7 linked regions of the Macaca mulatta genome follow. The protein of the gene in region 7 interacts with the protein of the main gene of each other region in a biochemical or structural test. Links are inferred from orthologs where the notes say so. Each region holds a gene or a part of one and is shown on either strand. Other genes may lie near its edges.

The links.
Region 1: the proteins of ERBB2 (region 7) and SHC3 form a complex in vitro, tested with the Homo sapiens proteins (2 studies listed by BioGRID and IntAct, with this or other methods). The link is inferred for Macaca mulatta from reciprocal best matches to the Homo sapiens genes ERBB2 and SHC3.
Region 2: the proteins of ERBB2 (region 7) and RASA1 form a complex in vitro, tested with the Homo sapiens proteins (2 studies listed by BioGRID and IntAct, with this or other methods). The link is inferred for Macaca mulatta from reciprocal best matches to the Homo sapiens genes ERBB2 and RASA1.
Region 3: the proteins of ERBB2 (region 7) and SHC2 form a complex in vitro, tested with the Homo sapiens proteins (2 studies listed by BioGRID and IntAct, with this or other methods). The link is inferred for Macaca mulatta from reciprocal best matches to the Homo sapiens genes ERBB2 and SHC2.
Region 4: the proteins of ERBB2 (region 7) and BLNK form a complex in vitro, tested with the Homo sapiens proteins (2 studies listed by BioGRID and IntAct, with this or other methods). The link is inferred for Macaca mulatta from reciprocal best matches to the Homo sapiens genes ERBB2 and BLNK.
Region 5: the proteins of ERBB2 (region 7) and TNS3 form a complex in vitro, tested with the Homo sapiens proteins (2 studies listed by BioGRID and IntAct, with this or other methods). The link is inferred for Macaca mulatta from reciprocal best matches to the Homo sapiens genes ERBB2 and TNS3.
Region 6: the proteins of ERBB2 (region 7) and GRAP2 form a complex in vitro, tested with the Homo sapiens proteins (2 studies listed by BioGRID and IntAct, with this or other methods). The link is inferred for Macaca mulatta from reciprocal best matches to the Homo sapiens genes ERBB2 and GRAP2.

What each region holds. Positions count from the first base shown.
Region 1 is NC_133420.1:119,710,093-119,714,073, forward strand, and holds part of SHC3 (SHC-transforming protein 3), read right to left. Parts: intron 3,147-3,981; coding exon 2,851-3,146; intron 1-2,850. UniProt on the Homo sapiens protein: Signaling adapter that couples activated growth factor receptors to signaling pathway in neurons. Involved in the signal transduction pathways of neurotrophin-activated Trk receptors in cortical neurons.
Region 2 is NC_133411.1:93,755,113-93,759,093, forward strand, and holds part of RASA1 (ras GTPase-activating protein 1), read left to right. Parts: intron 1-225; coding exon 226-368; intron 369-1,529; coding exon 1,530-1,645; intron 1,646-2,302; coding exon 2,303-2,389; intron 2,390-3,981. UniProt on the Homo sapiens protein: Inhibitory regulator of the Ras-cyclic AMP pathway. Stimulates the GTPase of normal but not oncogenic Ras p21; this stimulation may be further increased in the presence of NCK1.
Region 3 is NC_133424.1:1,068,174-1,072,154, reverse strand, and holds part of SHC2 (SHC-transforming protein 2), read left to right. Parts: intron 1-2,996; coding exon 2,997-3,125; 3' UTR 3,126-3,130; intron 3,131-3,981. UniProt on the Homo sapiens protein: Signaling adapter that couples activated growth factor receptors to signaling pathway in neurons. Involved in the signal transduction pathways of neurotrophin-activated Trk receptors in cortical neurons.
Region 4 is NC_133414.1:108,279,777-108,284,230, forward strand, and holds the start of BLNK (B-cell linker protein), read right to left. Parts: upstream 2,999-4,454; 5' UTR 2,828-2,998; coding exon 2,781-2,827; intron 1-2,780. UniProt on the Homo sapiens protein: Functions as a central linker protein, downstream of the B-cell receptor (BCR), bridging the SYK kinase to a multitude of signaling pathways and regulating biological outcomes of B-cell function and development.
Region 5 is NC_133408.1:81,065,942-81,070,530, forward strand, and holds the start of TNS3 (tensin-3), read left to right. Parts: upstream 1-1,587; 5' UTR 1,588-2,492; coding exon 2,493-2,570; intron 2,571-2,837; exon of another isoform or gene 2,838-3,035; coding exon of another isoform or gene 3,036-3,095; intron 3,096-4,589. UniProt on the Homo sapiens protein: May act as a protein phosphatase and/or a lipid phosphatase. Involved in the dissociation of the integrin-tensin-actin complex. EGF activates TNS4 and down-regulates TNS3 which results in capping the tail of ITGB1.
Region 6 is NC_133415.1:11,633,629-11,638,324, forward strand, and holds the start of GRAP2 (GRB2-related adapter protein 2), read right to left. Parts: upstream 3,046-4,696; 5' UTR 2,799-3,045; intron 1-2,798. UniProt on the Homo sapiens protein: Interacts with SLP-76 to regulate NF-AT activation. Binds to tyrosine-phosphorylated shc.
Region 7 is NC_133421.1:64,070,127-64,074,107, forward strand, and holds part of ERBB2 (receptor tyrosine-protein kinase erbB-2), read left to right. Parts: intron 1-101; coding exon of another isoform or gene 102-131; coding exon 132-264; intron 265-346; coding exon 347-437; intron 438-899; coding exon of another isoform or gene 900-1,001; intron 1,002-1,152; coding exon 1,153-1,313; intron 1,314-3,981. UniProt on the Homo sapiens protein: Protein tyrosine kinase that is part of several cell surface receptor complexes, but that apparently needs a coreceptor for ligand binding. Essential component of a neuregulin-receptor complex, although neuregulins do not interact with it alone.

The sequences.
Region 1 (3,981 bases), on a different chromosome or scaffold from region 7:
ACCGTAGGCTCCCAGAGCTCGGGGCCTTTGTAGCCTCCACGATCGCAATGGCCCCCTGGTGTCCCACCTTTCTCTCTCAAACTGTCTTTTTCTCAATCCTTTGACTCTGCTGGACTTTGTCACCCCCATGACCTAGTGTTGGGTCTGATCTCCCCAACAAAAATGTCTGTTCTTCCTCAAATTAATCTATATACATTCAATGCAAGCCCTATTGAAATCCCAGCACATATTGTTGGTGACTTGAAAAACTGATTCTAAAATCAGTGTAAAGAAGAATATATATCTGCAGCTCAGTAGAACGTTTTAGAAAAAGGAGAATCAAGAGGAAGGACTCACACCACCAGATGCTAAGAGAGTTCCAAAGCCATAAGGATGGAAACAGCATGGTACTTATACAAGGACTAAACAGATCAGTAGAATAGAATCCAGCATCCAGAAACAGACCATGGTGCAAAGAACTTAGTATGTTTTCAAAGGAACATCAGGACAGCAGAGAAGAGATGAATGATTTAGCAAATGGTGACAGAAAAACTGGCTTACCCTCTGGAGATTTAAAAACATGTTGAACCTCGGCCAGGCGTGGTGGCTCACACCTCCCAGCACTTTGAGAGGCTAAGGCAGGTTGATCACCTGAGGTCAGGCGTTCAAGACCAGACTGGCCAACATGGAAAAACCTGTCTCTACTAAAAATACAAAAACAAACAAACAAGTAAACAAACAAACAAAAAATGTATGTATATATGTGTATATATGGTGTCTCTATCTCATTTCAAATTCAAAAGTACCTTCAGTTGGAATTAAAGCCCACATGTGAAAGATGAAACTATAAAGCTAATGAAAGAAAATATATATTCAAATCCAGTATATTTGTGATTTGTGGGGGAGAAAAACTTTAAAAGTCAAAACCATCAAGCACAAATGGGAAAACTGACAGATTCAGATGCATCCCATGAAAGACTTCTATTTGATGAAGACTATCACAGACAAAATTATCAGATGGATGACAAAAGCAAGAGAATACATATGAAAATTCTGTTGCCGAAAACTTCAACAAGAAAGCCCAATCAGAAAGTCAAAAGAAAAACATGGAGAAAAGATAAGAACATTAACTTTACAGGAAGAATCTGCTAATTTACTAATGAAGTGCAACCAAAGAATTACAAATCAAACAATGAGATATTCCCTTTCTCCTTACTCCCACAAACTAGCAAACCTAGAGACTCTCTCAAGGAAGAGCAAGGATGTTGCTGGTGTGCGCCTCCGTAGCTCAGCCATTCTGAAAGCAAATCCAAGCCCCAGTGAAATTCAATGTATGTGTACCCTGTGACCAAAACGCCACTCTTGGCTCCTGTCCCAGAGATACCGTGCCCAGGTACAGAGAAAAACATGCATGAGAGTTTGTAGCAGCTTAGTCAACCTTCTCAAGAGAGCTCAGTAAGTGACGTGTGGACTGCACATGTGACCGGCCCCAGGCAGCCCACCACAGTAATGATCTGATAAACAGAAACCACCATGGGCACATCTCAACAACATGTACGGTGGTGGAAAAGGAAGAAACAAAATGGGATTTGTGGAACAATATCATGTTTGCAAACTTTTTTCTTTTTTCTTTTTTTTTTGAAACAGGGTCTTGCTCCATCACCCAGGCTGGAGTGCAGTGTTGCGATCACAATTCAGGGCAGCCTTGACCTACTGGGCTCAAGCAATCCTCCCACCTCTGTCTCCTGAGTGGACTACAGGCAGTCGCCACCACGCCTGGCTAATTTGCAAATTTCTAAAAGGCACAAACACAAAATGTTTTCTCAGAAGTATGTGTATGTTAAAAAAGAAGATGGACTGGAAGGATATACATATATACGTTACATTCATGAGGAAGGGGCTGTCTCCGTGGAAGGGAAAGAGGAAGTAGCTACTGGCTGGAAGTGGGAAGTGGCTGCTTCCAAAGAAACAGAAAGAGGAACTGTTCAGAGTGCCAGGAGCTGGGGTGTTCAGGCAACTGAGTCTTGGCACCTGAGGTAATAAACCATTTTGGATAACACCCCCACCCCCGACTCATGCAGTTTAATTGTGTTCCAGTCCAGCTGAAGACAAAAGCTTCATCCCTCCCTGTCAATCAGAAAATGCAATGTTTTTAACTCCTATTAAATAACTCTACCCTGCTTCGTTGTTTTCACTGGATAAAAGGTTTTAAACAATCCTGGAATTTCACTCAACAGTTAGGTTGATTTAACTACATTTATGAAGCTTAGCAATTCTTGGACTATGCCCCAGGTAAAGTCGAATGTGTTTCTTGACAGGAAGATGAAAAATTCAGGGAAACCTACAGGATTATTCAGATACAGCTATAGTGCCAGGGATGGCCAACATCACTAGGAGTTACTTCTCTAAACGGGAAAACTAGAGACTTAGCAAAGGGGGTTTCATTTACTGATCATCACATTTTACAGCCTTAGAACAAAATCCTCAGTGATTCAACTTTTTGACAGAAGCATTCAAGGTAAATATTAAAAGCCTAGACGCCTGTACTTCCTTGTCCACTAGAAACATGTTTGTAAGGAAAATGCTCTCAGTTTCTGTATTTATTTACTTTAAAGGACATAAAAGTCAAGGCTTTCAGCCTAGGCCATAATTCTAAAAGTTTTAAAACTTGTGTGGGACCCTGACCACTGGCTCCTGGCTCCTGGCTCTGGCCTGATGACAGGAGTTGTCTGTCCCTGGGTTCCCCTGAAGGACTCGGTAGGCACTTGTGGATAGAGGTGGGAACGTGGAGGTCATTTGACAAAGTGGAGACTGTTTAAGGCAGGTCTGCGCCCATCAGCAGGTCCGACCCCATCCCCACTGGGTGCTCACCGTGCCTTCCGGGTCCACGAGCAGCAGGTGCTTGGCCTGGCCATTGTGCATGCCCGTGAGGACAAAGGAGCCCGGGTTGGTGGTGCTCTTCCTGACCAGGAAGTCTCCGTCTTTCTCCAGCAGCCCCTCTGCCTCCTTCCTGCTCATCTCTCCTTGGTACCAAGTCTCAGCTTGCAGGTCCTCCAGCATCTTGGCATCCGGGGCTCTGGGTGACACAGGGCTGATGCACTCCACGGAGGCTGCCTTGCTTAACACGGGCCCCAAGGGCTGGTTCTTGAGAGCATCTTCAAAAGGTTCTGTCATCAACAACATTGACCAGCAACAAGTCAATCTCAAGAAGAGCAAATGATTAAAAAAAAAAATACAGTGAGAGAGATGGAAATGCAAAGGCAACTCCTCCAGAAGGGGAAAACAAAAACCACTGGAAAAAACTAGCTGGCTGGTAATATAACAAGAGCCATCATAACAAGCATTGAAAAGCACAGCCCAAATTTTGGCATGCCTTTCTGATGAGTCTGCTTTCCCAAGACAGCTGGGAGTTGTGCTATGTGCCAAGGAGTCAAGCACACCCTTTGTCTAGCTAGTTGGAATGACTTCATTTTTGCATGCTGCAGGAGGCCATGAATATCACATGCCATGTACTTTCTCTGGAACTTCAGCCAGCCTCTTTAACAAATTCGGAATAAAAATCTGCCAATACCAAAGGGAAAGATAAGCTACAAAGCTTTGATTTTATGCAAAACAGGAGCCCGATCCACCAAAGATTTATTTCAAAATCTTTGCATCAGGCAAATTTTTAAAAGAGAAAGCTTATGGGTATTGGGTGCCTCTTGTGTGACTTGCCCCAGGCTAGGAGCTCCACCTCCCCTTAACCTTCACTTGTTTCCCTGTGGAACGAGGCTCTCGAATGAGTGCTTGAGACCACACTTGGTTTCATCCCCTTCAGAGCACACTTCTCAGTGCAAGGCATGTGTGAATGGTGAGATGGCTGCTCTAACAATAAATACCAGCAGCAAAAGAAGTAGCCAGGCATGTCTAACTAAATTCCTATGTTCGATTTTCACATAAGGTAGTGTGTATGAAAGAACTCTGAAAACTGCACACAGTGCTATGCAAGTGGAAGGTAGTGCG
Region 2 (3,981 bases), on a different chromosome or scaffold from region 7:
CCCTTCTCCTGTTTATGATCTAATGAGGTAATACATATGAAAGTCTTACAGAGTTAAGTCTGTAGAAGTATAGGATGTCACTGTAATTAGTACTTCAATGCTGCATGCAAAAAGTACGTTTAAGTGGTTATTCCTTTTGAGGTAAAATGAATTCACTTAACTTCCAATTTGGTCACATTAGGTCAGTCCTTTACAAATAATCTTCTAATGTAAATATTTGTGTAGATGAAGCCACTACCCTATTTCGAGCCACAACACTTGCAAGCACCTTGATGGAGCAGTATATGAAAGCCACTGCTACACAGTTTGTTCATCATGCTTTGAAAGACTCTATTTTAAAGATAATGGAAAGCAAGCAGTCTTGTGAGGTAAGAATTTAATGTTTTAGTAGGTAATAATTTGTAGCCAATTACATTTTAAGGAAAATATTAAATTTCTAAAATTATTCCTCATAGCAGTTATACCTGTCTCTAATACATTTATAAAAATGTTCTGCAAAATGGACTTTTTTAAAAAGATGTACTTTATTTTGGGATTAAAAACCATCAAGTTGCACCAGAAATTCATGAAAATACTTTTATCATTTCCTCTACTGCACTAGTAATCTATATACTACTTATAGAAAGCATGCATAACATACATTGAAGGTTTTGTTAGTGACTTATCATATGACCTGTGTAGCACTTCATTACATCTAGGTTTGTCCTTGAAGGTTTTTTTGCAAGAGGAGAATTATGAGATAACCTTGACTAAAACAAAAACATCTTTTTAGGATTATTGAACCTTCAGTATAAATTCATAATAAACTATTAAGACAGTAAGTGGAATCTCACACATATATTCTCTCATTTTAATGGTAAAGCAGCTACAAAGAAATACATATTTTAGATCTGATACAAAAATCAGTTTAAGGAATTGTTTTCGACAGTGGACACTGGGACCTAGCAAATGTTAATCCTGCACGAAGGTGTCAATTCGTACTAATAACCTGAAGGGAAGAAATTAGTGATTTAATTTTGGAAATCTGGAGTAATGCCATAGTTGGCCCAGCATAAGGATGACACAGAAGTGCAGCAGGTAGGTAGGGAGTCTCTGGACTTTAGATATAGGCTGTGGAATTCGGACTTCCATAGATAAATGTACTCTGCTGACACTAGATCAGAAGGGTTACAGGAGAAGTTCTGAGAAAGGTTTGTGATTCTGCCTAAGACATTTGATATTTTTATTAGCCATTAAATAAGCCTCATTCAGAAAGGGCTTTTAATCAGCTTTTTTTACCCTCAAATAGAATTGACTAACCACTGTTTGCTTTTCAGTTGGGTAATTGGGAATAAATGGTAACAAACCTACCAGGAGTTCCATAGAGCAAACTACTTAAAAACTCCCATTTATACAAAGAAAAAAGATCAGTACACACAGCGATACTGAAAGATAGAGAACCTTGAAAACTACAACTACTTGTTTTCCTCAATTCATTTGCATTTGTCATTGCCAACAATGCATTTCTATTGATTTATTCCTTCTTTTAGTTAAGTCCATCAAAGTTAGAAAAAAATGAAGATGTGAACACTAATTTAGCACACCTATTGAACATACTTTCAGAGCTTGTGGAGAAAATATTCATGGCTTCAGAAATACTTCCACCGTAAGTGGTGAAATTTTCATTTGACAAGAAATTGTGTATCTATGTCTTGAGAAGTTTCTATTTCTAAAACATGTGAAAGCTTTTCTGTTGTCCTAATATTATTATACTCTGAAAAAGTCATGGTTAATCTTTATAAGATGAATTATATTTAAAGAAAATAACTGTCTTAATAAAACCACCCATTGTTTTTGTACAAGCCAATATGTCTGGTTTGTATAGCTTGGGGAGTGAATAGAGGTTTATAGTTTCAGATTTGAGATTGTAAAAGATATCTTGTCTATCCATTTAGTCTATACTTGATAGATTAATCACTCTGTTAATATGCTTTTAGGCCTCCAGTATTAGTGAACTCACTTGTTTAGGTAGAAGTTAACCTAAGTCTAAATCTTTCTCCCCAGAGTTTGCAGCTGGTTAGTTCTCTGTATCTGAAAGTAAATGTCAGGAAGTTGACTGAATAAATTGATGATGATAAACTTAGTCGATAAAATTTTCCTTACCCCTTCTAAATGTCTCATTACCTGTGGCAAAATACTTTTTTTGGGGAAAAGGCCAGTTTTATTAAACTGTGGTATATTTGGGTAAATTAAGCTTTCGGCTGCTAGGAGATCAGTAGTTTCACTTGCTTTCTGTGTTGAGATGATTGTGTTATTTTGGCAGGACACTGAGATATATTTATGGGTGTTTACAGAAATCTGTTCAGCATAAGTGGCCTACAAATACCACCATGAGAACAAGAGTTGTTAGGTAAGGCTCATCAATTCATTTGTTAAATCACAAACTGATAGATGGATAATTGTGAAAGATTGAAGAATAACAATATACAATTCAACGTTTTTCTTTGACTTTTATGTCAAAGCCCTATTGCATATTTTCTAAGTCCAAATGGCTCCTAAACTTAAAGTTACTATGAGATTTAGCTACCGTTTGCATTTTCTAAAAACATGAACATTCATTTATAGTCAAGTATTGGGGATTTTTAAACCCTTACAGGATGAGGTTAAAAGTTATACAAACAAAATCTGTAGCTAACTTCATATAATATTCTTCATACATACACACACACATTGATTGGCACTAAAAGAGAAGAGCAGTAATTGACTGATTTAGATATTAATTGGTTTATTACAATCTGTGACTCTGAGCTAATCTGGAACCAGAACATGTGGTGCTGAAGCTGTGTTTCAGTCTGCTCATTGTACCATAATTAGGAAGAACTGTTTTGGCAAACCATGGAATTTGGGAGCTTATATAAAGGGACTTCATTATCATTATTCTATAGGAAGAACTGCTTTGGCAAATCATGGAATTTGGGAGCTTATATAAGGTTACTTAATTATCATTATTCTAACTTACTTTCCAATGAAGAAGCAGATCTGTCTGGAGAGGTTAAGTTGTTGAACTAAGGTTATATAGAAAGCTGGTGGCTAAGGCACAACTAAAGGTAACTTTCTAAGACCCAATCTGATATCCTTAAGTCTTATTTGTAGGCTTTTGCTTTTGTTAAGCATACTCCAACCAATACCCCAACTAATTCCAGGCAAATGGAAATTTAATGCAAAAGCATCATGGAATACAGCAGTTTTCTAATAATATAATTTGTTATTTAGAATATACATAGTCATGTCATGCTATATTTAAAATAATCAGACAACCATTAACACCATTATTACAGTTTGTTTTGAAAATGTGTGTTAATCCTGCCTCCAACCTAAATTTTGTCAAGGGTCTTCTATTTCTTTTTTTGGGGGGCAGATAAAATTTCTCTTGGTTATGATATGACATAATATTTAAGAACTACAGATTCAGTTTTTGTTGGCATTAATGGTGATTGGGAGGAATAGAAAAGAATTATATGCTAGCACAGTTATGTGTGAGATGTAAATTAAAACTGTTCTATAAATTCAAACAAGTATAATTGTTAAGCAAACACAGCAGGAAATTGTAAACTGATGCAAGAGGGTGTTTTAGGGCATTTTTGCCAAGGTTATGTTTCAGGCTCATAGACCTACTGTGTATAATTATGACAATATTTTCAAGTAAAGTTTACACAATATTCTTTAAATTTGAGAAGTCCAAAATTAAAGACTTAATTGTTATTTTTTTGAGACAGGGTATCGCTCTGTTGCCCAGGCTGGAGTGCAGTGGTGTGATTTCAGCTTACTGCGACCCCCGCCTCCCAGGTTCAAGTGATTTTCATGCTTCACCCACCCAAGTAGCTAGGATTACAGGCATGCAGCACCACACCTGGCTATTTTTGTATTTGTAGTAGAGATGGGGTCAGACCATGTTGGCCAGGCTGGTCTTGAACTCCTGGCCTCAGGTAATATACTCACCTT
Region 3 (3,981 bases), on a different chromosome or scaffold from region 7:
CAGGTGGGAGGGTCTGGAGGCATCCAGGGGCTTAGCTGGGCCCAGGTGGGAGGGTCTGGAGGCATCCAGGGGCTTAGCTGGGCCCAGGTGGGAGGGTCTGGGGGCCGAGGGTGTGGTAAGCTGGGCCCAGGTGGGAGGGTCTCGGGGCATCCGGGGGCTTAGCTGGGCCCAGGTGGGAGGGTCTCGGGCCCGAGGGCGTGGTAAGCTGGGCCCAGGTGGGAGGGTCTGGGGGCATCCGGGGGCTTAGCTGGGCCCAGGTGGGAGGGTCTCGGGCCTGAGGGTGTGGTAAGCTGGGCACAGGTGGGAGGGTCTGGGGGCCGAGGGGGTGGCAAGCTGGGCACAGGTGGGAGGGTCTGGGGGCATCCGGGGGCTTAGCTGGGCCCAGGTGGGAGGGTCTCGGGCCTGAGGGTGTGGTAAGCTGGGCACAGGTGGGAGGGTCTTGGGGCCGAGGGGGTGGCAAGCTGGGCACAGGTGGGAGGGTCTGGGGGCATCCAGGGGCTTAGCTGGGCCCAGGTGGGAGGGTCTGAGGGCATCCAGGGGCTTAGCTGGGCCCAGGTGGGAGGGTCTGGGGGCATCCAGGGGCTTAGCTGGGCCCAGGTGGGAGGGTCTCGGGCCCGGGGGCATCCAGGGGCCATCCGTGTTTATGAAGCTTTTCCAGATTGTTGCAGATGTTGTGTTTGACCAGCTACCATAGAATTGCAAAGTATCTTCCAGTGTATTTTTGAGACAGAGTCTGGCTCTGTCACCCAGGCTTGTGTGTAGTGGCAGGATCATGGCTCTCTGCAGCCTCGAACTCCTGGGCTCAGGCGGTCCCCCTGGCTCAGCCTCCTGAGTAGCCGGGACTACAGGTGGGAGCCACCGTCCCCAGCTAAGTCTGTGTAGAGATGGGGCCTTGCTGTGTTGCCCAGGCTGGTCCCGAGCTACTGGCCTCACGTGATCCTCCTGACTTGTTTTCCCAATCGTAATCCCAATCGTACGATTTCATCCATCATAAGATGCCCCCCCCATATATCATGACGTACGCACCTTACAAATGGTGATGTATTTGAGGGATAAATATGGTATTTTCAGGTTCTAATTTATTTGAGGGTGTACAAAGCACTTCTCAATTTACAAGGAATTTTGGGATCAAGTTACTGAATTACTTCAATTCTTCCCTCCCTTTCTTTCTCTCTCTTTTTTTTTTTTTGATGGAGTCTCACACTGTTGCCCTGGCTGGAGTGTAGTGGCACAATCTCAGCTCATTGCAACCTCCGCCTCCAGGGTTCAAGCGATTCTCCCGCCTCAGCCTCCTGAGTAGCCGGGATTAAAGGCTCCCACCACCACACCTGGCTAATTTTTCGTATTTTTTTAGTAGAGACGGGGTTTCACGACGTTGGCCAGGCTGGTCTCGAACTCCTGACCTCGTGATCCGCCCGCCTCGGCCTCCCAAAGTGCTGGGATTACAGGCATGAGCCACCGCGCCTGGCCTAATTGCTTCAATGCTGAGAGACACTCTCCCCGCCCCAGTTTTGACGTCTCTGGAGTCTGGATTTTGTTTTTTTTTTTTTTTTTTTTTTTTGAGACGGAGTCTCGCTCTGTTGCCCAGGCTGGAGTGCAGTGGCGCGATCTCAGCTCACTGCAAGCTCTGCCTCCTGGGTTCACGCCATTCTCCTGCCTCAGCCTCCTGAGTAGCTGGGACTACAGGCGCCCGCCACCGCGCCCGGCTAATTTTTTGTATTTTTAGTAGAGACGGGGTTTCACCGTGGTCTCGATCTCCTGACCTTGTGATCCACCCGCCTCGGCCTCCCAAAGTGCTGGGATTACAGGCGTGAGCCACCGCGCCCGGCTGGATTTTGTTTTAAAACCATCGATTGCATACTTGAACTGCATCATTATTTAACAGCGAGGTTTTTCTCCTCTGTCTGCTCCTGGTACCTGAAATCGTGGTGCATCTTACAGTTGCTCTGGGCCAGTGGGATTTAGTAATCTCCAGCTTCTAAAGCGTTTTAGGGTTTACAAAGCATTTTCCGATTTACAAGGAGTTCTAGGGTTTATGAAGCATTTTGAGCGTCTGAGGGCTACACAGGTTATTTCTTAGGTGAGGAGGTGCTGGAGGGTTCGGAGGCCTCTCAGACTGCAGGAGGCATTTTCAGCCGTCCGGCCGAACCCTCAGAGTGGCTCTTGGGCTGGTGCGAGCCTGGTCTCCGCGTGAAGCACACTGTGGGGGGCAGGGGTGGCACTTGTGCACCCCAGCCTGGGACAAAGCTGGAGAGGGGCAGAGCTTGGGCGAGAGGCGCCTATTCTCCCAGTTCCCGAGCCCCCTCAGACTGTTTCCGGTCCCCCCGCCGCCGCCTAGCCTCTAGCCTGGTGGGTGATGCCTCTGCTCTTTCCCAGGCCAGATTCCCTCTGTTAAATGGATCCCTGGGGTCAGACTGGCAGCCCCTAGACCTGGGGAAGCTTCAGAACGTCTACCAGTACCTTGTCGAAAGGCAGATTCCCAGCTCCTATTCCCAGTGCCATGGAAGGAGATAATTTTGCCGCAGGCCTAGGAATGTGCATTTGCCCCTGTTCCCCACGTGAAATGTGCACAGGGCCCCCAGCCTCACCCACGAACTCAGAGCAGCCGGGGACACGTCACCCATGATCTCAGAGCAGCCGGGGACACGTCACCTCCTGGGTGCTGCTCGGTCCCAGGCCCCTCCCGGCGCCCGCTGGTGGCCGCCTCCCGGGTGCTGCCGGGTTTGCGGACACACGGCTCCAATCTCTCATGGGGTCACCCTTCAGCCCCCAACAGGACGCGTGGCCCCAGAACCCGGCGGTTTCAGAGCCCGTGCCCACGTGTGGTTCTGGGATTCTGAGGCCGATCCTGTGGCTGGCGTCCCAGAATTCCCTGGTCCGGACACTCATCCACGCAGGCACCCTAGGGGCTCCCCGACAGGACCCCAGATCGCCGATCTCTGACTCCACGGGTCCAGGCCGGCTCCCGGGAGCTGATACCGAGGTCTGTCCTGCAGGTGCGGACGAAGGACGTGCTGTTTGAGAGCATCAGCCACCTGATCGACCACCACCTGCAGAACGGGCAGCCCATCGTGGCCGCCGAGAGCGAGCTGCACCTGCGCGGCGTCGTCTCCCGGGAGCCCTGAGCCAGGTGTGTGGCTGCCGCCGTGGGCCGCCGGCCTCGTCCCCTTTACCCGATTCTTTTCTAATTTGAAATTTGAGACCCGGTTCACATGCCGTGCCTTTCCCTCTAGAGGGCACGACTCAGGGGTGTTCAGCATCCAAGCTGTGCAACCATCTCTGTCGAGTTCCAGAACATTCTATCAGCCCCGAAAGGTGCCCTGTCCCCACCAGCCATCGCTCCCTGTCCCCTCCCCAGCCCCAACCCCCATACATCCGCCTCCTGTCTCCGTGGATGGGCCTGTCCCGGACATTTTCTAGAAATGGGATCACACGGTGTGGCCTTCTGGGTCTGGCGTCTCTCACGGAGCGTGACGTCCTCAAGGTGCCTGGTGCTGTGGCCTGGGTCAGAGCTTGGCTCCTGTTCACGGCTGGGTAATGTCCCACTGTGTGACGGGGCCACATTGTGTTTGTTCATCCGCTGATGGACGTTTTGGCCACCGTGAGCCTTTGTGTACAGGTTGTATGTGGACACGCGTCACTGGCCGTGGTGGGCACGTGCCCCAGAGTGGCCCTGTGCAGCCATGATGGTAACTGTGCAGCTGTGATTGGCTGGGATGGATGTCACCTGGTCTTTATGGACCCCTGCTGCGTGCTGGGTGTCCAGGCCTCCTTCCCGGAGAGGACGGTGGGCTGGGACAGGCAGGGGCTGGTGTGTGAACCCAGGCAGTGAGAAGCCCACACCTCAGGCCGGGCCGCAGAGCCCTGGGCCTCTACTTTTGGTGCGGGGCTGGGGGGAACCCGTGGCGGGGCATCGACGGGGGAGGGACAGGCAGGTCTGGGTGATTTCAGGGTCTCTCCTCTGGGGTGAGGTCGGGGCAG
Region 4 (4,454 bases), on a different chromosome or scaffold from region 7:
CAACTTAGCCATCTCGCCTATCTCTATTCTGATACAGCAGAAACTCTCAAGGTGATGACCCATCCCCAAATGGGTTCATCTAGAACATTCCCTTTCTCCTTCATTTTGAGAATTCCTTGTCTCCTTCCAATCCTGCATGACCTCCTTTCCTTGGATGACTCTGCTTCCCCTCACCTTCTAGTAATTCCTTCTTCTCTACTTTCTTTTCAGTCCTGGGAATATACTCCCTGGATCAAGGTCATTCCTTTCAGTTCCCTGGATGAACACTCACTGTCTTTCTATTTTTGTGGCTAAGAATTTGAGCAAATTCTCACCTAAGCCTAAGAGTATAAACATAACTGTCCACTTTTGCTGTCGTCTGGTGCCAAATAATTATGTTGTTAATCAACCTCCAGAATTGATGTCAACCAGTCAGGATAGAGGACACAAATCACAGGAGGCAAGTATTTCATCTATTAACTGCTCAGCATCCCAGCTATCTAATTATGGAAAAGAGTTAAGATGGTGCTTCGAGCCCATTTAATTTACAATTTCATTTCTTTGAAAAGTTCCACGTCAGCAGGGTACATTTTATCACAACGTGATGATTCTATAAAGACAACTGAGTGATCAAGTGGGAAAAAAGTTACTTTTATGTAAGCAGATGAGTGTAGTATATGATTATCCGTGGTATAATTTTGGTTTTCTATTCCATAATCTATGGTTGTATATTGCCCATCAGCTGCTCTGTGATCAAGCTGGACTTTGTCCCAAAGGGAGGAATCATAAAATGATTTAAGTTCTAGCACCTTTACTTAAATTCCCATCTGGATTCCCTGAAAGAGAATACGTCTCTGTATAGTTCTACATTATGATATATGTCTGAAAAAAACATTTGGAATCCTCCTGTTCATTCATTAGTTTCTTTGCCACGTCTTTCTTCCCTCTCTTTCCCTCTTCCTTCTCACTGCTGTGCCCCAAGTCCAGGCCTACAGCCCTGGATGCTTGGGTTACTTAAGCGCTCCTCCCTCCCAACAGATCCCTGCCTCCAGTGTCCCTCTCACTCCAACACATCCTACCAGACTCCTTTAAGCCTGCTGTCATGACATCACTAACAGCATAACCTGTTCTCCAACACTCCCTATGGTTAGGGCCCTCACCACCCTTTGCAACCTGGACCCGCCCTATGTGTCCAATTATACCAGGACCTTCAGGTCCTACATGCCCTACTCTATAGTTTCCGCTAGACAGAAAACTTTCCTCACCATCCCACAAATGGACCGTATGTGTGTTAAGCTTTGAGTGACAGCCTCTGTATTTCCTCCCTCCCAGCACATACATGTTTCCTCCAATTCTCCAGTATTTTATAATTTTACCCACCTCTCAAAGCCTACCTCTTAAATTATCTTCTCTATGAAACCTCCTCCTGCTACTCTAATTCTCTTCTTACATTCCTTCAGTCACTTACAGCTTCTATTGTATCATCCCTGCCCCTTATGAGGGTGTAGCTATTTGAGACCAAGGGCAAGAATGAGGTGCCTTCCTGTCCCGTCAGTGCTGATCACACAGCAGAACTCAACAGCATGTTCTTGAAATGGTTGAATGCAGTTGATACTGCCTACTGATCCCAGATCATTGGTGCATATCACATTACCTTTTACCAAGCACCTCCTAGGCATAAGACCTGTATTCTAGTGTGAAGGGCTGTCCCTCTGCCAATTCCAGACTTTCTCTTAAATATTGTCTCAAAAGCTTCAATTCTCTGGCTCCTTGTTATCTGGGATTACTTGTCTGCTACACGTGTCACATCACCCCCTGAACATTTGGCTCAGTTCCGATATGTAGTCAGAATAGAAAACACTCCCTGAATGGAGGGGAACATCACACACCGGGGCCTGTCAGGGAGTTGGGGGCCAGGGGAGGGAGAGCATTAGGAGAAATACTGAATGTAGATGACGGGTTGATGGGTGCAGCAAACCACCATGGGACATGTATACCTATGTAATAAACCTGCACCTTCTGCACATGTACCCCAGAACTTAAAAGTATAATAATAATTTTTTAAAAACTGTTAAAAAATGTGGGAAAAAAACCCACTCCCTGAACTTTAAAAGTTCCAGTCTCTGAAAGCCATGATGCCATTACAATGAGACAAAAAGACGACCTTCAAAAGCAAAATTTGGGGAAGTTGTCTTTTCCATAGCTCCTTGACTCATGCCCGTGGGGCCGCTTCTGGTTTATTCCTTTTTAAGAGGCTTGTTATAGATCATTGTTACGTTGACATGAGGGTATTGGAATGACAGATCTAATCCCCCCAAACACACTTGTAATATACACCCACAAAATAAATGAGACAATAAAACAATGAATAACAAATGATTACAGCTATCCTTAAAATTAAATAGTAACCTGCAATAAAATGGGTGAGGACTCAGTTTAGAGAAACCCTTCCTTAGAAAAGTTGGTTGCACTCAGACTCTGAACGTTGACCTTCAGTAGAATCTAAGCCCTTGGTATTTCTGTTTTATTATCTTTCCAGAGCTTCATACTTTATTGTAAGAGGTAGCTAAAGCAAGTCTCTCTTGTTCCTACACATTTCTTTAAGAACTCAGTCCACTTCCCTATAGCAAGTGCCACCCAATGCTTTCCCTAAAAGCTCAGTCCACTTCCCTATAGTAAGTGCCACCCACTGGAAACTAGCAAAGCATTCCAGGATTTCAGTATTTCTGAGATGCCATAAGAGCATTGGGGGAAAAAAAAGGAGATGAAGAAGGGTAAGTATTGGGTGGGGAAAATCTTACCTCAACTTCTGACTGGCGGGGACGGTTATTTTATTAAGCTTGTCCATTCTGTTTGGTAATTGTAAGAGACACGAATAAGTGTCCAGTGGTCACGTCAGCAGTTCCTGGCCCTCCTAAGGAGCAGCATGGTAAGCCTCTGGTCTCAAGGGTTCCGGCCACTCAAGTCTGACTTCTGAGAGTGCAGGCTGCTGGCAAACACCCCTGCTCTAGGGAGAAGTAAAACTTGCCCGAGCACATAGTCAAGTTTCATGTTTCTACATAATCATGTGATCTGGATAGCCAGCCAGCTTGATGATTACTCCACGTTCTGTAAACTTTAATAGTGAAACCTACTGGGCATGCAAATTTCTTTCCAGCTGCTTTCTTTTACAATCAGATTTGTAACAAGGTTGGGACAAGTTTCTGGCTGGTCACTACTTCCTGTTTGTCCCAAACACATCTAGTCTGTTTCCAGCAGGTGCATGCTATAACTGGGAACTTCCTGGGCTCAAGGAAAAGCAGAGTAATCAAGTCCATCTGAACCTCTCTTGGAGACTTTCTGCTTATTTGCATAAAGTCATGGATAAGCTTTTTCTACTTATAGAACCATTATATAAAAATGGCATTTTTGTGCTTTTCCCTCCCCGCCCCTGATGCGAGCAATATGTTTAAAAATAAATATCAGGGTGGCAGTGACATGGTGGTAACAGTTTACTCGGAGAATTAGAGTCTCTCTTTTTCTGGAGCTCTATTTAAAATGGGATGGGCAATTCTCTGTTCATCTGCGGGTAGGGATGGGTGACCCAGGAAAGGGGAGATGAACTCTGTCGTAAGATGTGCAGCCTCCTTATTGCCTGGTAGAGTCAGGAGTTACCTTGCCGATAGCCAGATGCTTTCAAACAAACCAGGATGTACCCAAAAGTCAGATGAGAACAAATCTAACAGTTTCACAAGAGTGCAATTCCTACATCAGGCCATTCTGAAGTCCTAAAAGCAGAATGCCACTCCCCTCCTTGCATTTGCCTCTTCCTGTCCTGTCCACCGCTTGCTCATCACAGCCAGTGACACGCCAGACACGAGGCCATCTCAAGCTCAGACAGGTGGGGTGAGGTTGGGAGGAGGGAACCATACCTGTAGGGGCTGAACGTATTCAGAGAACTCTACTTCCCTCCTGGAAGACTTGACATTTCCTTCTGCCTAATCTGAAACATGCTGATTTATCTGTTGTTTAAAGAGCAGCCTGCAGTCTAGGGTCAGGGAGGAAGAAAATGGGAGGAACTTTTTGTTCCTGGACATACTTTTTTGCAGCCATCGAGAATGCCCTGCTCACTCTTGTGGAATAAAGTACACATTTCCAACATTTATCAAGGGAACCAGTCTTCTCCTGGGTCAGAAGAATACACAGCACGACAAAGTAAAGGGCTCTCAGTTACCTCTCCTGTTGTAGACCCAAGATCTGACTGAAGACAGTGGGGAAAGAGGAGAAGACAGAAAAGGGAAAGGAGGTGGAGGAAGAGGAGGAGGAGGAGGAGGAAGAAGCAGAGGAAGAGGAGACAGAGGAGGAGGAGGAGAAGGAAGAGTGGCAATGGCAGAGGTGGAAACCATGGATGGATTTCTTCCCTCCTGTGCCTCTTCTTTGCACAAATGGATGTTCTGTCTTTCTCCAGGTAACCTTGATTATTCACATTCATCACT
Region 5 (4,589 bases), on a different chromosome or scaffold from region 7:
GTTTTCAGCCAGAAAAGAGAATGGGAGAAGCCCCAGGTGAGCCCAAGGGTGCAAAGCAGAAGGACCCTGGAGGGTAAGAGCCTAGATTGCAAGCCTGGCAGGAGGAGGTCAGAGGGGGGCAGGGAGAGGGGCTGGAGAGGTGGCCTGCTGGAGAATTTGGATTGGCCTTAGGATTGAGCAGTTTCTTGCCAGTGAAAAATCAGTTTGTTGTCCTCACTCGGGAGGTTTATCACATGCATGTTATTTGTTACTAGTAATGAAGTATGGGAGTTTTCTGAATGGCTACCCTTTTAAATAAGAGCAGATTCAGGGTATCCCTGTAATAAAAAGCCACCTTCAACTATTTGCCTTCCACTCTGGCTTGCATGGGCAGTGGGCTGGCCTGTGCTCCTGACCATTGTTCCTGGGTGGACCCCAGAGAGTGTGAATCCTGGTACTCAGGTTGGAGGAGTTTTATCCTGCTGGGAGCTATCTGTTCATTGCTGAATTCAGATTTCTTCGGCCGGTTCCCGTGGGCACCGTGGTAAGGGCGGTGGTAGATCCAGCTGACCTCTGGGCGTGTTTGTCTTGGGTAAACCACGACAGCAGCATGTCCTGTTCTTAGCTGTTTGTAGACACTTCTATGTACCTGGTATTGTGTCAGATGTGAAGGAATCTGGAATGAATATGATACAGATGTGTTCTCAGGGAAAGACATTTGAAAAAACTAAAGTTTGGATACGCTATAGGAAAAAAATGATGAATGAATACAGGAAAATGAAGGAAGGAATGAATATAGAAAAAGGTGAGTAATGATGTCATTTGAAGGACAGGGGGAAATGAGAATGCCTGCTTGTCTGCCAGGTGATGATTTAGTGAGGAATTGGAACCCAGAATGGTGTGTTCTAGGAGGAGGTTTTTTCCTTTGTAGTTGAAAGTTGAAGAGCAGCTTTGCTCTTCTACTGCAGAAACGGAAAGATGGATATTTAGTGCCAGAACTTGAGAGGTTAACGTCGGCCAGTTGAATTGATGGCTGGAATTTGCACATATGTCAGCCATAAAGGCCACGACTAAGCCCACCCATACTGCTCCCCACATCCAAGGCATGTGGAGTTGCACGTGGAGTTGTAGATCCGAAGTTGGAGTGTTGGAGGCACAAAGGCTGAGCTCTGGGACACTACCCCTAGGCTGGGCCTGGAGTGAAGGCCGGTAGTAGGAGTACAGGGTTAGCCGGCCTGAGGCTAGAAGGCCCCCTATCCTACTCTGAGGCAGGGATCTCTTCCCCTGCCCCCCACAGACCACAGGCAGTGGCTTCATCTTGAACATGATCTTTTATTTTCAGTCTTGCCACAAAGCTTCTTGTAGACAGCCAAGATCCACTGCCCCGGGAAGGCTGGTGAAGTCCGACAGGCGTTGAAAGGAGGGATCTGCCTGTGGATCTTGCCCACCTCTCCTCCTGCGTTTCTAAGTGACCCTTCCTTCAGGATCCTGGCTTGTCCATCTTCTTCCATCACCCTGTCATCTTCACCTCCTGAACCTCGGGTTTCTAATTTCCTTCTAAAATCGCAGACCCATAAAGGAAGACGGGACTCGAGATCTGCTGTGAATTTTCCTGATTTGCCAGGAGCAGGACGGCGGGGGGGTTGGGGAGGGCGGTGCGGGGGAGGGATGGGCTGGGAGATAGGGAGGGGGCAGGGAGGTGCAGCCCAGCCCCCAGGTGTGCAAGGCCCCGGGCGGTCCTGTGCTTTGAGCTTTGCTTGAAATCCTCACCTGGTTAGGCGTGTCCTTTGCAAGGCCAGGCTCCTAGTTTTTCCTAGTTGAAAAGGCAAATTAGAAAAAAAGCCTTTCTGCCTCGGTGTTTCCCTGTTTTCCACTCCAAATGCCCTGTTTGCCAGTGTAGATTACCAGGGTAGTGCAGATTACTGCTCATTACAGATGCAGAGTTGACTGGATAATAGTTAAGATTTAGAAATTCCGAAAGTCGAAGAGCGTGCCCGGTTTTGATTCTTTTAAGCCCCTCGCCAGCGTTCTCGGAGAGGTTTGAAATCCTAGTAAAGCTGAACCCTGCACCAAGCTCCGCGCGTCCGTAATTCCAGTCAGATGGCGGCTGCAATACCCTGCTCCCTCCGCCTGGAAGGCGTTTCTTCACCCACTTTTCAGTGTTTGGCGGCTCAGCCTGTGCCTCCGCGCTCGCTCGGAGTTGCGGTTGGGGCGGGCGGGGGAGGGAGGGCTAATTCGTGTCAGATGGAGGGACGCCGTGCGGGACCGTGCTCTCGCGCCTGCCTTTTGTTCCCGGCGTCTGACTTCTGACGGACAGAAGTGGCCGTAGAGGCGGCGGCGCGCGGCTGGGACCTGGGCCGGCGGCCACGGAGAGCCCTTCGCTCCTCCCGTGTTGGCCATTTGCTGGGACTTGTGTCCGCAGGGAACTCGGGAGGCATCCTCTGCCCCGACCGCCACTGGGGAGGGGTCCTCGCCTGGCCGGGTCGGGCTCCCAGCGGGCGGCAGGGGCGGCCATGCGGCTGCGCGCCCTGACCCCCGGGCCACCGGGAGGGTTAGCGCGCGGAACCCGGGCGCGCCGGCGCCGGCGCCAGGTGAGTGCGGCCCGGAGCTGGGGTGCGGGGCCGGGGGCGCGAGGCACGGGCGCCTTCAGGGCTGCACGCACGTGGGCTGCGCCGGGTGTGCGCTGGTGCCCGTGGACGCTGTGCCGGTGTGTACCCCCCTGTGCTCATGTATATGCGTGTGCCCTTGTCAGTGCGCGTATGTCGGTGTGTGTTTGTGCACCCCCGTCTGCACGTCCACGCGTGCGTGCTTGTGAGCGCGCGTCTGTGTGTACAGGCATGTGTACGCTGGTCCGTGCCAGAATCCTGGTGGGTGCGTGTGTACCCTTGTGGGTACGTGTGTACCCTTGTGTGTGTGCGCGCAGGACAAGGAGCGAGAGGGCCAGTGGAGCTTTGCCTAGTGGGAGCGGCTTCTGGTAAGCGTGGAAGAGGGTCCAGGCTTAGCTCTTTCCAACCCAACAGCCTCTTGAAAAGGCTTCTTGGTTTCCTTTCCCTGCAATGGAATTGGGATTCTGGCCATTACGCAGACCTGCTGTCTCTCGCGTGTTTCTTGCAAAGGTAAAGGACATTTTAGCTCTTCAATAATGTGGGGGATGCGCTGGGATGTAGGAATCCTTACAGGTTCCCTGGGGACCGCATGGTTCCAGCGGCGCTCTGCGGTCCACAGGACGGCCCTTCACGGTGTTTGAATTAAACAGACCCGTCCTGGTTGGCTCCCGCTAGGTTCAGCGCCCTTTCCCTAAGTCTAACAATCAGGAATTTATTGCATTTGTTTTTCTGAAACTTTTGTAAGGCTCTGTGGAGTGAAAAACTGTTAAAATTTCAGCTAGTTACTTGAGGTGTACTGCGTTCCCTCTTAAAGTTTAGTGGTCAAACGCTGCTGCCTGGAAGTGTGGGAACAATATGTGCTGGATCTGGAGGGTGTCCCTCTTGCCCCAGATACTGGCTCCCTGTGGGCTGGGAAATATCCCCGAGGCCCGGAAGTGTTCCTGGCTGTTTAATATCAGAGTAAAGTTGGGCTGGGAATGTGTTTTTCATCAGTGCCTGCCTCTCTAGAATGCCTCTGAAGGTTTCCCAGGTGCCTGAATGCCCACCTAAATCCTTTTACTACGGTGGAGCTGAATATTTCCTGAAAGGAAAACATAGCAGGGATTGTGCTGATGCAGCTTTGCACTTTTGCGTGTGTAACCATTTTGCCAGGCGACCTTTAGCCGGGAGAACCTAGCCGAGAGGTCCCTGCGGTTTTGCATTTCGGCAGAGTGGAGCATTCATGTGGAGCACCTCCCTGTTCAATTTTGCAGAGATTTTTCTTTCTGAAAAGAGACCTCACAATCAAGACCAGCACTAATTACTGTGTCCCCCTCAGGGAGTCCTTGTGGAACCAGCAGCCTGCTTTCTACCCTTCCAACATTTTGTTCCTAACAATTAAGTGCAATTTAGATTCCTGAACTGAGCCTGCTAAATACTTCAGCATTGCTGCCTCCTCTCCCCCTTTGGGAGAAATGAAGCACAGTATCAGGTGAAAACAAGGGCAGTCTAATCCCGTCTGGTCTCATTTCACAATAGAGATGTTATGTACAGATGAAGCGTGAGCAGATGTTATTACACTATCTTAAATGAACTCCTCAGGGATCCAGCAATTCAAATGGCTGAGCCCTCGCAGCAGCGCTTCTGCTGTTTCCCTCTTTAAGTTTTCTAGCTGTGGACCAGTGGGCAAGAAAGCTGCAGAAAACAGTGCCTCTTTCTCCCTGGTTGGAATAAAGGTGTTTGTAAGGAATAAAAGGTCACAGTATCTTTCCTTGGCCCACAGACTGTGGCTAATTCATTTGGTCAACAAATATTAATTGAGGGTCCATGGTCCACTGTCTGCCAGGCGCTGGGCAGGGCCCTAAGAGGACAAAGGGGAAAGAGCCTGGTGTCCTGCATCTAGGAAATTGCAATCTAGCACAGGAGAGAAGGCGTATACACAAATAACTGCAGTATGAGTGAAAAGTATGTACCAGCTGCTGCATTGCAATAGAGAGATGTGTTTGTTAAGTGTTTGAATGCTAC
Region 6 (4,696 bases), on a different chromosome or scaffold from region 7:
ATCTGCCTGCCTTGGCCTCCCAAGGGCTGGGATTACAGGTGTGAGCCACTGTGCCCAGCCGTTCTTCACTGTCTTCTTAAGGAACGTCTTAACATTTTCTTTGGAGAGCATGTAAGACTTTTATCATCATGTACTTTGTGATAGTTTAATTCTCTAAAAGTGTTGTTTATAAATGCATATTTAAAAAGAAAATCTTTAAAAATTATTTACTGAATTCCTACTGACTCAAGTTTATTGAAACTTAACGTTAACACTGTTGAAGAGGACTTGGTGCCTAGCGCCAGGCCTGGCATATAGTAATTGATCGATAAATGTTTGTAAAATGCTTATCTGTTAAACAGGGCCATGCTTTCTTAAGAATTTTTAAGTGGAAAAGAAAGGGCAGGCCAGGTGCGGTGGTTCACACCTGTAATCCCAACACTTTGGGAGGCTGAGGCAGGCAAATTGCTTGAGTTCAGGAGTTCAAGACCAGCCGGCGCAACATGGCAAAACTCTGTCTCTACTAAAAATACAATATTAGCCAGGTGTGGTGGTGTGCACCTGTAGTCCCAGCTACTTGAGAGGCTGAGGTGGGAGGATCACTAAGCCCAAGGTAGTTGAGTCTGCAGTGAGCTATGATTGCACCACTGCACTCTAGCCTGAGTGACAGAGTGAGACCCTGTCTCAAAAAAAAAAAAAAAAAAAAAAAAGACTCATGAGACTGTGTTATCATCATTATTATTATTTATTTTTGGAGATCCGCCCACCTCGGCCTCCCAAAGTGCTAGGATTATAAGCATGAGCCACCGCACCCAGCCAAGGCTGTGCTATTTCTTTACAGACCAAGGTACGCTGGGCAAATACCTCAAAAGGACAAAATGGGGACCTATCGACCCTATTGTTTGATTCAAACAACTTATAAAGATTCTTGAACAAGTTTTGAGTTTGTTTTATAGGGGCACAAAAATGAATAATCTGCCCCCAGGATTATCCAGCAGCAACTGTTACTTATTTAAGAAATCCTGATGGAATCACACTTACTGACACATTTTTCGAACGACTGCAGACTTTTCTTGATCCAGGAAAAAAGGGCAAGTTCTACTCAAGTTTAGGCATGAACCCTGTCAGTCATCAACACCAGTGGGTGTTATTATCTGGGAATCAATAAATATGTTGGAACTAGGATCATTTTCAGCTCTTCTAGAAAGCAATAGTTCTAAAAGAGATGGCTTCAGGAAATAAGTAAGAGACATTTTGTATAAGAAGTTGGAAGAAAATGATCAAGAGTCAAAGAAATAACTAATGATGACATTGTCTTGCATTTTTATAGTGCATTTTTCCTAAGGTATTTCATATCTATGTTAACTCATTTATTCTTACAATATCCCTACGAGGTAGACAGAACAATTGAAAGGGATTTTCACCAGGCCTAAGACGTCGGAGATATTCAAAAGGATATTGTATTAGCAACAGAAATATTTCTTCATATTGAATAGATTGATCATCTCTTTCTCCTCTGCTTCAGTAAAGTCATTTTTTAAAAAGATAAAATCTATTACAATTTGGGGAGAATAAGATTTCAGTTTACCACATGGGAGACACTCCAAGTTTAATCTAAAAAAGCAGTTTTATTCAATAATATAGGGCCACCTCTCTTTTACAAAAAAACAAAAAAGGGTATGAGTCAGATATTTTTCAAATTTGAAAAGTAAATATACTTAGGTGGTCCTCTATTTACACAGTGTTCCTTATTTAATAGCAGATGGTTTTGTAAAGAGGGTCACTATAAAATTATTTTATAAAGTTTTATATACAATACTGGATTGTTAAAGGAGAGTAACTTCTGCTAAATGCTCTTTCTGAAACCAAAAATAAGAAACAAAAAGGACCCACTAAAGAACTAAACCGTTAATGACAAACGTTGCTGCACAGAACAAAAGATTCTTCGACCTGAAGTTTCCCATCCTCGGATAACGTAACGAGAGCACACGAAATTTTTCCTATTGGATGTTTAGATCTAAAACATTTCCCTCTCCTAGTTTATCTAGGGATGTATATGTTCAATAGTGTGCAAATTATGTTGCATATACCTTATTAAGAAGGCCTAATTCCAGGTAGGTAAATACGGTAATTTTTTTTGACAGTATACCTGTCAGCGCAATACGATACATTTTAAATTAGTGAAACCGTTGGTTGGTATGTTCAATCCTCATGTTCAGGAAGAGTTAGGACAAAGAACACAAAGCAGCTAACTTCAGACTGGATGCCTAAACCAGAGACAGTCACAGGGATGGAGCCTAACGGCTAGTACAAAGAGAGACAATACCCTTCCAAAATACACTTCAACACAAAGTCTTCTTTTTTGTAAAGGAATGAAAACTGGTGTTCTTTGTATAGGTAAGAAAAATGCAAACAGAACTAGAAATTCAAGCAAAGGGAGAAATCCTGATCTCAGAGTGCTGGTGTTCATTCATCACTGCTCAGCCCTCTACCACCCCCTCCAACCCCTTCCAATTTGGATTAAATCCTGACCATGGTGAAGTAGAATTTTTACCTCTGTGATCCCAAGGTCGAAAATCTTTCCCCGAGATGCTTCTGAAGCCAGTTTGTGGAGATTTTTGTGTTATGGACTGGGTAAGGAACAAGCGTTCTCCCAGTTCACTTGATAGAAGTCAAATCCCATCACCACAAACATTGTCACGGCAAAAGGTTTAGAGACATTAGCTGATGGGACTTAAAAGCAGTATTCAGAGAACTAATGAGATTCATTTTAATTAACTCATACAAAATATATGTACAGATATTGTATAATGACATACCTTTTGGAAGAGAAGTGGTTTGTTGAATTTATGTCTTGGCTTTGATGCCGAGTTATTAGAATCCTTTCTGGCAAGAAGGAAGACAAATTCAAGCATCAGAATTACTGCATTTCAGAGTACGGATCCACTTTGTGCTGTCTTCCATGTACCACTCTGAAAGAGGGTGCAAGTTTACAGATCCATTAACTGTGCCTCCTCCTCCCCACCTCTTACTCCCTCCTCCAAACTAACCCTAGTCAGCCCTGCAGCCTGCAGGCAAACCACACAGGAACTAGCACATACGGGGCTTCAGAGAGTTGGGCGTGAGCCTTAGATTATGTGGTTTTGTTTTCTTGCTGCCAGTGTTGAACTAAAATGCAGGAGGTTCACTGAAATACTTTTGCTTCTTTATGCTAGGTTTCAGTTTTAACAATATCCCTCCTGAACACTTATGTTCACATAAGAAAATTTCTAGTCCTAGATATGGTCCATCAGCAAGTCGATCTTAAGGAAAACTCTTATTCTCTTAGTACAGTCATGCAGCCCAAGGAACATTAGGGCTTCTTGGGGGAACTTATTTAAGAGCACCCTTGATCACTCACAATGTTAAAATCCCAGGGAAGATGCTTTGTTCATGCGCTCAGTCTGTAATATTACTCTTGACAAAAAAAGAAGAAACATTCTGAGCTGGGATGACTTCTCACCCCAGGTTTGCCACAGTTCAGCATGAGTTGGAACCAGTTCCTTCGATTTCTGGGACTTCAATTTGTGTTGAGTCTTGGACTGAAGGCTTTTCGGGATTTAAGACTTTCCATTGACCTTATATTTTGTTACCTTCAACTTCCTTAGTTCTTACCTTTAAATGTACCACTCACCCTTCCCCCTATATCAAATGCAACTTGTGAAGGCCTCTTCCTTTCTCTTTGCTCTTGCTAGAAAATGGATTGCCAACGTTGCATCTTTTACAGAAAATTAGAGACATTGCTACTTGCTAAGTGGTGCCATTCAGAGTTTGGGAACTGGATCCAAGATGAGGAGGGAAATGTTGGCTCACCAGAATGTTCCTAGCATTAATCCCTGGAATACCAAGAGGGCAGTGTCAAGGAGAGACTCAGTTTGGGTTCTAAAATTTAAACTTTTTCTGCAATGTGAAATGGCATCCTTTTCCATCTCTTGACTTCTTTATATCTAAACCTTGCTTAAAATTTACTTTCTTAAAACCTTTTCCTTGGTTATAATTGCTCAATATTTTTATTGAAATAGAAAAGAATCAGCAGAGTGTCATGGTGATAGAAAATGCTCAGTAAACATTTGTCGAATGAGTTAAAGGAGGTAATTTTCTGCCCATAACTCCTTTTTTTTTTTTCTTTTGAGATGGAGTTTCACTCTTCGTGCCCAGGCTGGAATGCAATGGCACGATCTTGGCTCACTGCAACCTCTGCCTCCCGGGTACAAGTGATTCTCCTGCCTCAGCCACCCGAGTAGCTGGGATTACAGGTACCTGCCACCATGCCTGGCTAATTATTTTTAGTAGAGACAGGGTTTCACCATGTCAGCCAGGCTGGTCTTGAACTCGTGACTTCAGATGATCCGCCTGCCTCGACCTCCCAAAGTGCTGGGATTACAGGCGTGAGCCACCGCACCCGGCCGTGTAACTCTTTAATAACAGGCTTTCTTCTTATTGATGCAAGTTTGTCAAATTTTCTTAAATCCTGGTTACATCTGAAAAGGATTTCTGCTATTTCCACATTATAAAGATAAAATATAAAAAATAACAACATCTTGCTACTTTAAAAATAATAACATCTCAACCTTGGCCTCAGAATTCTTCAGCCTCCTAAGGACCTTCTTGGATCATTACATTGAACAGCTCTATTGCCAAGTTTTTAAATGCTGAAATCCTCTGGCTACAGTCCTTA
Region 7 (3,981 bases):
CCTCTCCCTACATCGGCCCCACCTGTCCCCACCCCTCCAGCCCAGAGCCATGCCCACAGCCAGTTCCCTGGTTCACTTGGACCTGGGGCCTCCCCTAAAAGTCCCCTGCGGTCCCTTCCTCCTCACTGCAGTGGGCGAGGGCCTGGCCTGCCACCAGCTGTGCGCCCGAGGGCACTGCTGGGGTCCAGGGCCCACCCAGTGTGTCAACTGCAGCCAGTTCCTTCGGGGCCAGGAGTGCGTGGAGGAATGCCGAGTACTGCAGGGGTATGAGGGGCAGAGGAGAGGGGTGGCTGGAGGGGTGCATGGGGCTCCTCTCAGACCCGCTCACCACTGTCCTTTCTCTCAGGCTCCCCAGGGAGTATGTGAATGCCAGACACTGTTTGCCGTGCCACCCTGAGTGTCAGCCCCAGAATGGCTCAGTGACATGTTTTGGACCGGTGAGCTGCTGGCGGGCTCAGAGCTGGGTGGAGGGGTGCAGCGAGGGGGATTGCCAGGGACTTGGCAGGATGGCGAGACACGGCAGGGTGTGCCGTCTGGTAAAATATCCCTGGAGAGGGCTCAGCACTCAGACCCGAACAGCAGCAGAGTGGCAGGAAAGGGGGCCCGGGGGACCCTGGGGCCCTTCAGACTATGAAAAGGTTCTAAGGAGGTCTGCGTTTGCGGCTGTGGCTGTGGCTGTGCTAGGGTGGTTAGCCCTGCGGGCTCAGGCGTCAGACTACCTGGATTCAGACCCAGGTCCTGCTTCCAACCTTGGTGTTTTATTCCTAAAATGGGTATTGTAATAGTACCTACCTTGCTGGGGTGTGGTGAGAATGAAATTAAACAGGGCTTGGCACAGTGAAGCCCGGGAAAGGCTTTCTATGCAGCAGTGACTGTTGTTACTCGCTGTTACACCTTAGGTAATGCGTTTTCTTCTCTGGGTGCCTCCCATTCTCTGGCTCAAGTCCCCGCCCAGGATCAAGCTTGGAGGAGGGCCCCGAGGGAGGGTCCACAGAGACTGGGTGAAGAGCAGAGGTGTTTGTCCCAGGAGCATGGTGAAAATTGCTGCTGGGTGGCCTTGGGAAGCACAAAGGGGACCCAACTAAGGGCCTGATCCTACTGCCCTGGGGGTGTCAGTGCTAGCCCCCTACAAACCTTTTCTGCCCCTCCCAGGAGGCTGACCAGTGTGTGGCCTGTGCCCACTATAAGGACCCTCCCTTCTGCGTGGCCCGCTGCCCCAGCGGTGTGAAACCTGACCTCTCCTACATGCCCATCTGGAAGTTTCCAGATGAGGAGGGCACGTGCCAGCCTTGCCCCATCAACTGCACCCACTCGTGAGTCTGAGGGTCTTTTCTGCAGAAAGGAGGACTTTCCTTTCAGGGGTCTCTCTGGGGCTCTTACTATAAAAGGGGACCAACTCTCCCTTTATCATATCTTATTTCTGATGGCAAAAATAACACATCGTTGGGGCCGGGCACGGTGGCTCACGCCCATAATCCCAGCACTGTGGGAGGCCGAGGCGGACAGATGACCTGAGGTCAGGAGTTTGAGACCAGCCTGGCTAACACGGTGAAACCCCGTCTCTACTAAATAATATAAAAAATTAGCCGGGTGTGGTGGTGGGCGCCTGTAATCCCAGCTACTCGGCAGGCTGAGGCAGGAGAATGGCATGAACTCAGGAAGCGGAGCTTGTAGGGAGCTGAGACTGCGCCACTGCACTCCAGCCTAGGCAACAGAACGAGACTCCATCTCAAAAAAAATAAAAATAAAAATAACACATTGTTAAAATGGTAAAATTAAAACATGAAATATAAATTAATGCCCTAGCAGTTCTATCCCCACTGTTAATAATTTGAAATATTTTTCCTCTAGTTATTTTTGTCTGTGCACATTCTAATATGTATATATAAGTTAACATACATTAATATTATTCTCCAGTTATTTTTATCTGTGCACGTTCTAACACACACACACACACACACACACATATATATATATATATTTAGATGGAGTCTCACTCTGTCACCCAGGCTGGAGTGCAGTGGTGCAATCTTGGCTCACTGCAGCCTCTACCTCCTGGGTTCAAGCAATTCTCCTGCCTTGGCCTCCTGAGTAGCTGGGATTACAGGAACATGCTACCTTGCCTAGTTAATTTTTGTATTTTCAGTAGATGGGGTTTCACCATGTTGGCCAGGCTGGTCTTGAACCGCTGACCTCAGGTGATCTGCCAGCCTCGGCCTCCCAAAGTGTTGGGATTACAGGGGTGAGCCACCATGCCCAGTCATATATTTCTTTTTACCAAATAGAATCATAGTTCATATTGTTTTTGCAAATTGCTTTTTCTCACTTTCCAGGACCTTGAAATGTTTTTCCATGTTCTAACATGGTGATCTACCTTATTCTTTTAATTTTTCTTATTTAGTTGTCTTTACACATGAAACACATGAATACATCCTTGTGATAAACATTTTCAGTAACATAAAAGTATAAATGTTACAAAACCACTCAACTCCCTGTCCACCCAGCCTCTCCTGTGGGCTGGGAGAACCACCGCATTGACTTGTGTGTTCATCCTTCTGGGCTCTTTTCTGCACACTTATATAGACACACTACATTTATATTAGGTTGAGTCAAATAAGATTGCTGTTTGTGTAAACCAAAAATGGGCACGCGGTGACTCACACCTGTAATTCCAGCACTTTGGGAGTCTGAGGCAGGCGGATCACTTGAGATCAGGAGTTCGAGATCAATCTGGCCAACGTAGCGACACCCTGTCTCTACTAAAAATACAAAAATTAGCCGGGTATGGTGATGCACACCTGAAATCCCAGCTACTCGGGAGGCTGAGGTAGGAGAAAACCCGTGAGGCGGAGGTTTCAATGAGCCTAGATTGTGCCACTGCACTCCAGCCTGGATGACAGAACAAGACTCTTGTCTCAAAAAAAAAAAAAAAAAAGGTCAAGAAACAGCAATTTCATATAGTTCCACTTGTCATCAGATTTGTGTGCGTGTACATTTTGTAATGTAAATGGGATCATTCTCTTCATACTATTCTGCAGTTTACTTTCCCTCCGACTTGAGGTATCCTTTCTTGTGAGTACAGACAGATCTACCATCTTTATTCTTTTTTAATTATTCAACCTATAACATGGATGTAATTTCACTTTGTTTTTGAGGGATATTGAGCTTGTTTCCCTGTTTTCGCAGTTTATTGCAATTGAGCTCCATACACAAGTGAGCATTCTTCTGTATGCCCCCTAGTGTCCACACATTGGCATTTTTAGGGTATATAGTGCTGGCAATGTTTATCACAAGGATGTATTCATGCGTTTCAATTTAAAGACAACTAAATGAGAAAAATTAAAAGAATATGGGTCCGGGCTGGGTGCAGTGGCTCACGCCTGTAATCCCAGCACTTTGGGAGGCCGAGGCAGGCAGATCACCAGAGGTCAGGAGTTCAAGACCAGCCTGGCCAACATGGCAAAACCCCGTCTCTACTAAAAATACAAAAATTAGCCGGGCGTGGTGGTGGGCACCTGTAATCCCAGCTATTTGAGAAGCTGAGACAGGAGAATTGCTTGAACCTGGGCGGCGGAGGTTGCGGTGAGCCGAGATTGCACCAGTGCACTCCAACCTGGGCAACAGAGCGAAACTCCATCTCGAGAAAAAAAAGAAAAGAAAAAAAAAAGAGAATATGGGTCCAGATCCATATGGATCCTAGATCCAGATCACGGTATTAGAACATGGAAAAACACTGCAAGATTCTGTTAAGTGACAAAAGCATTTGCAAGCAATATGTACGGTCTGTATTCAGAGGAGAATTTGCTGCATCATAGATAATATTTCGTAGGTGTTGCCAAACCGTTCTCTGGAGAAGTCGTATCAGTTTACCCTGAGATTCTTCTATGGAGGGAATAGTTGAGCTCCCTTACTTGCCTTTCTGGGTGCCCTCCCTGCTTCCTACCCACCACAAGGGGCTGCAGGGGAGAGGGGCATGCGGGT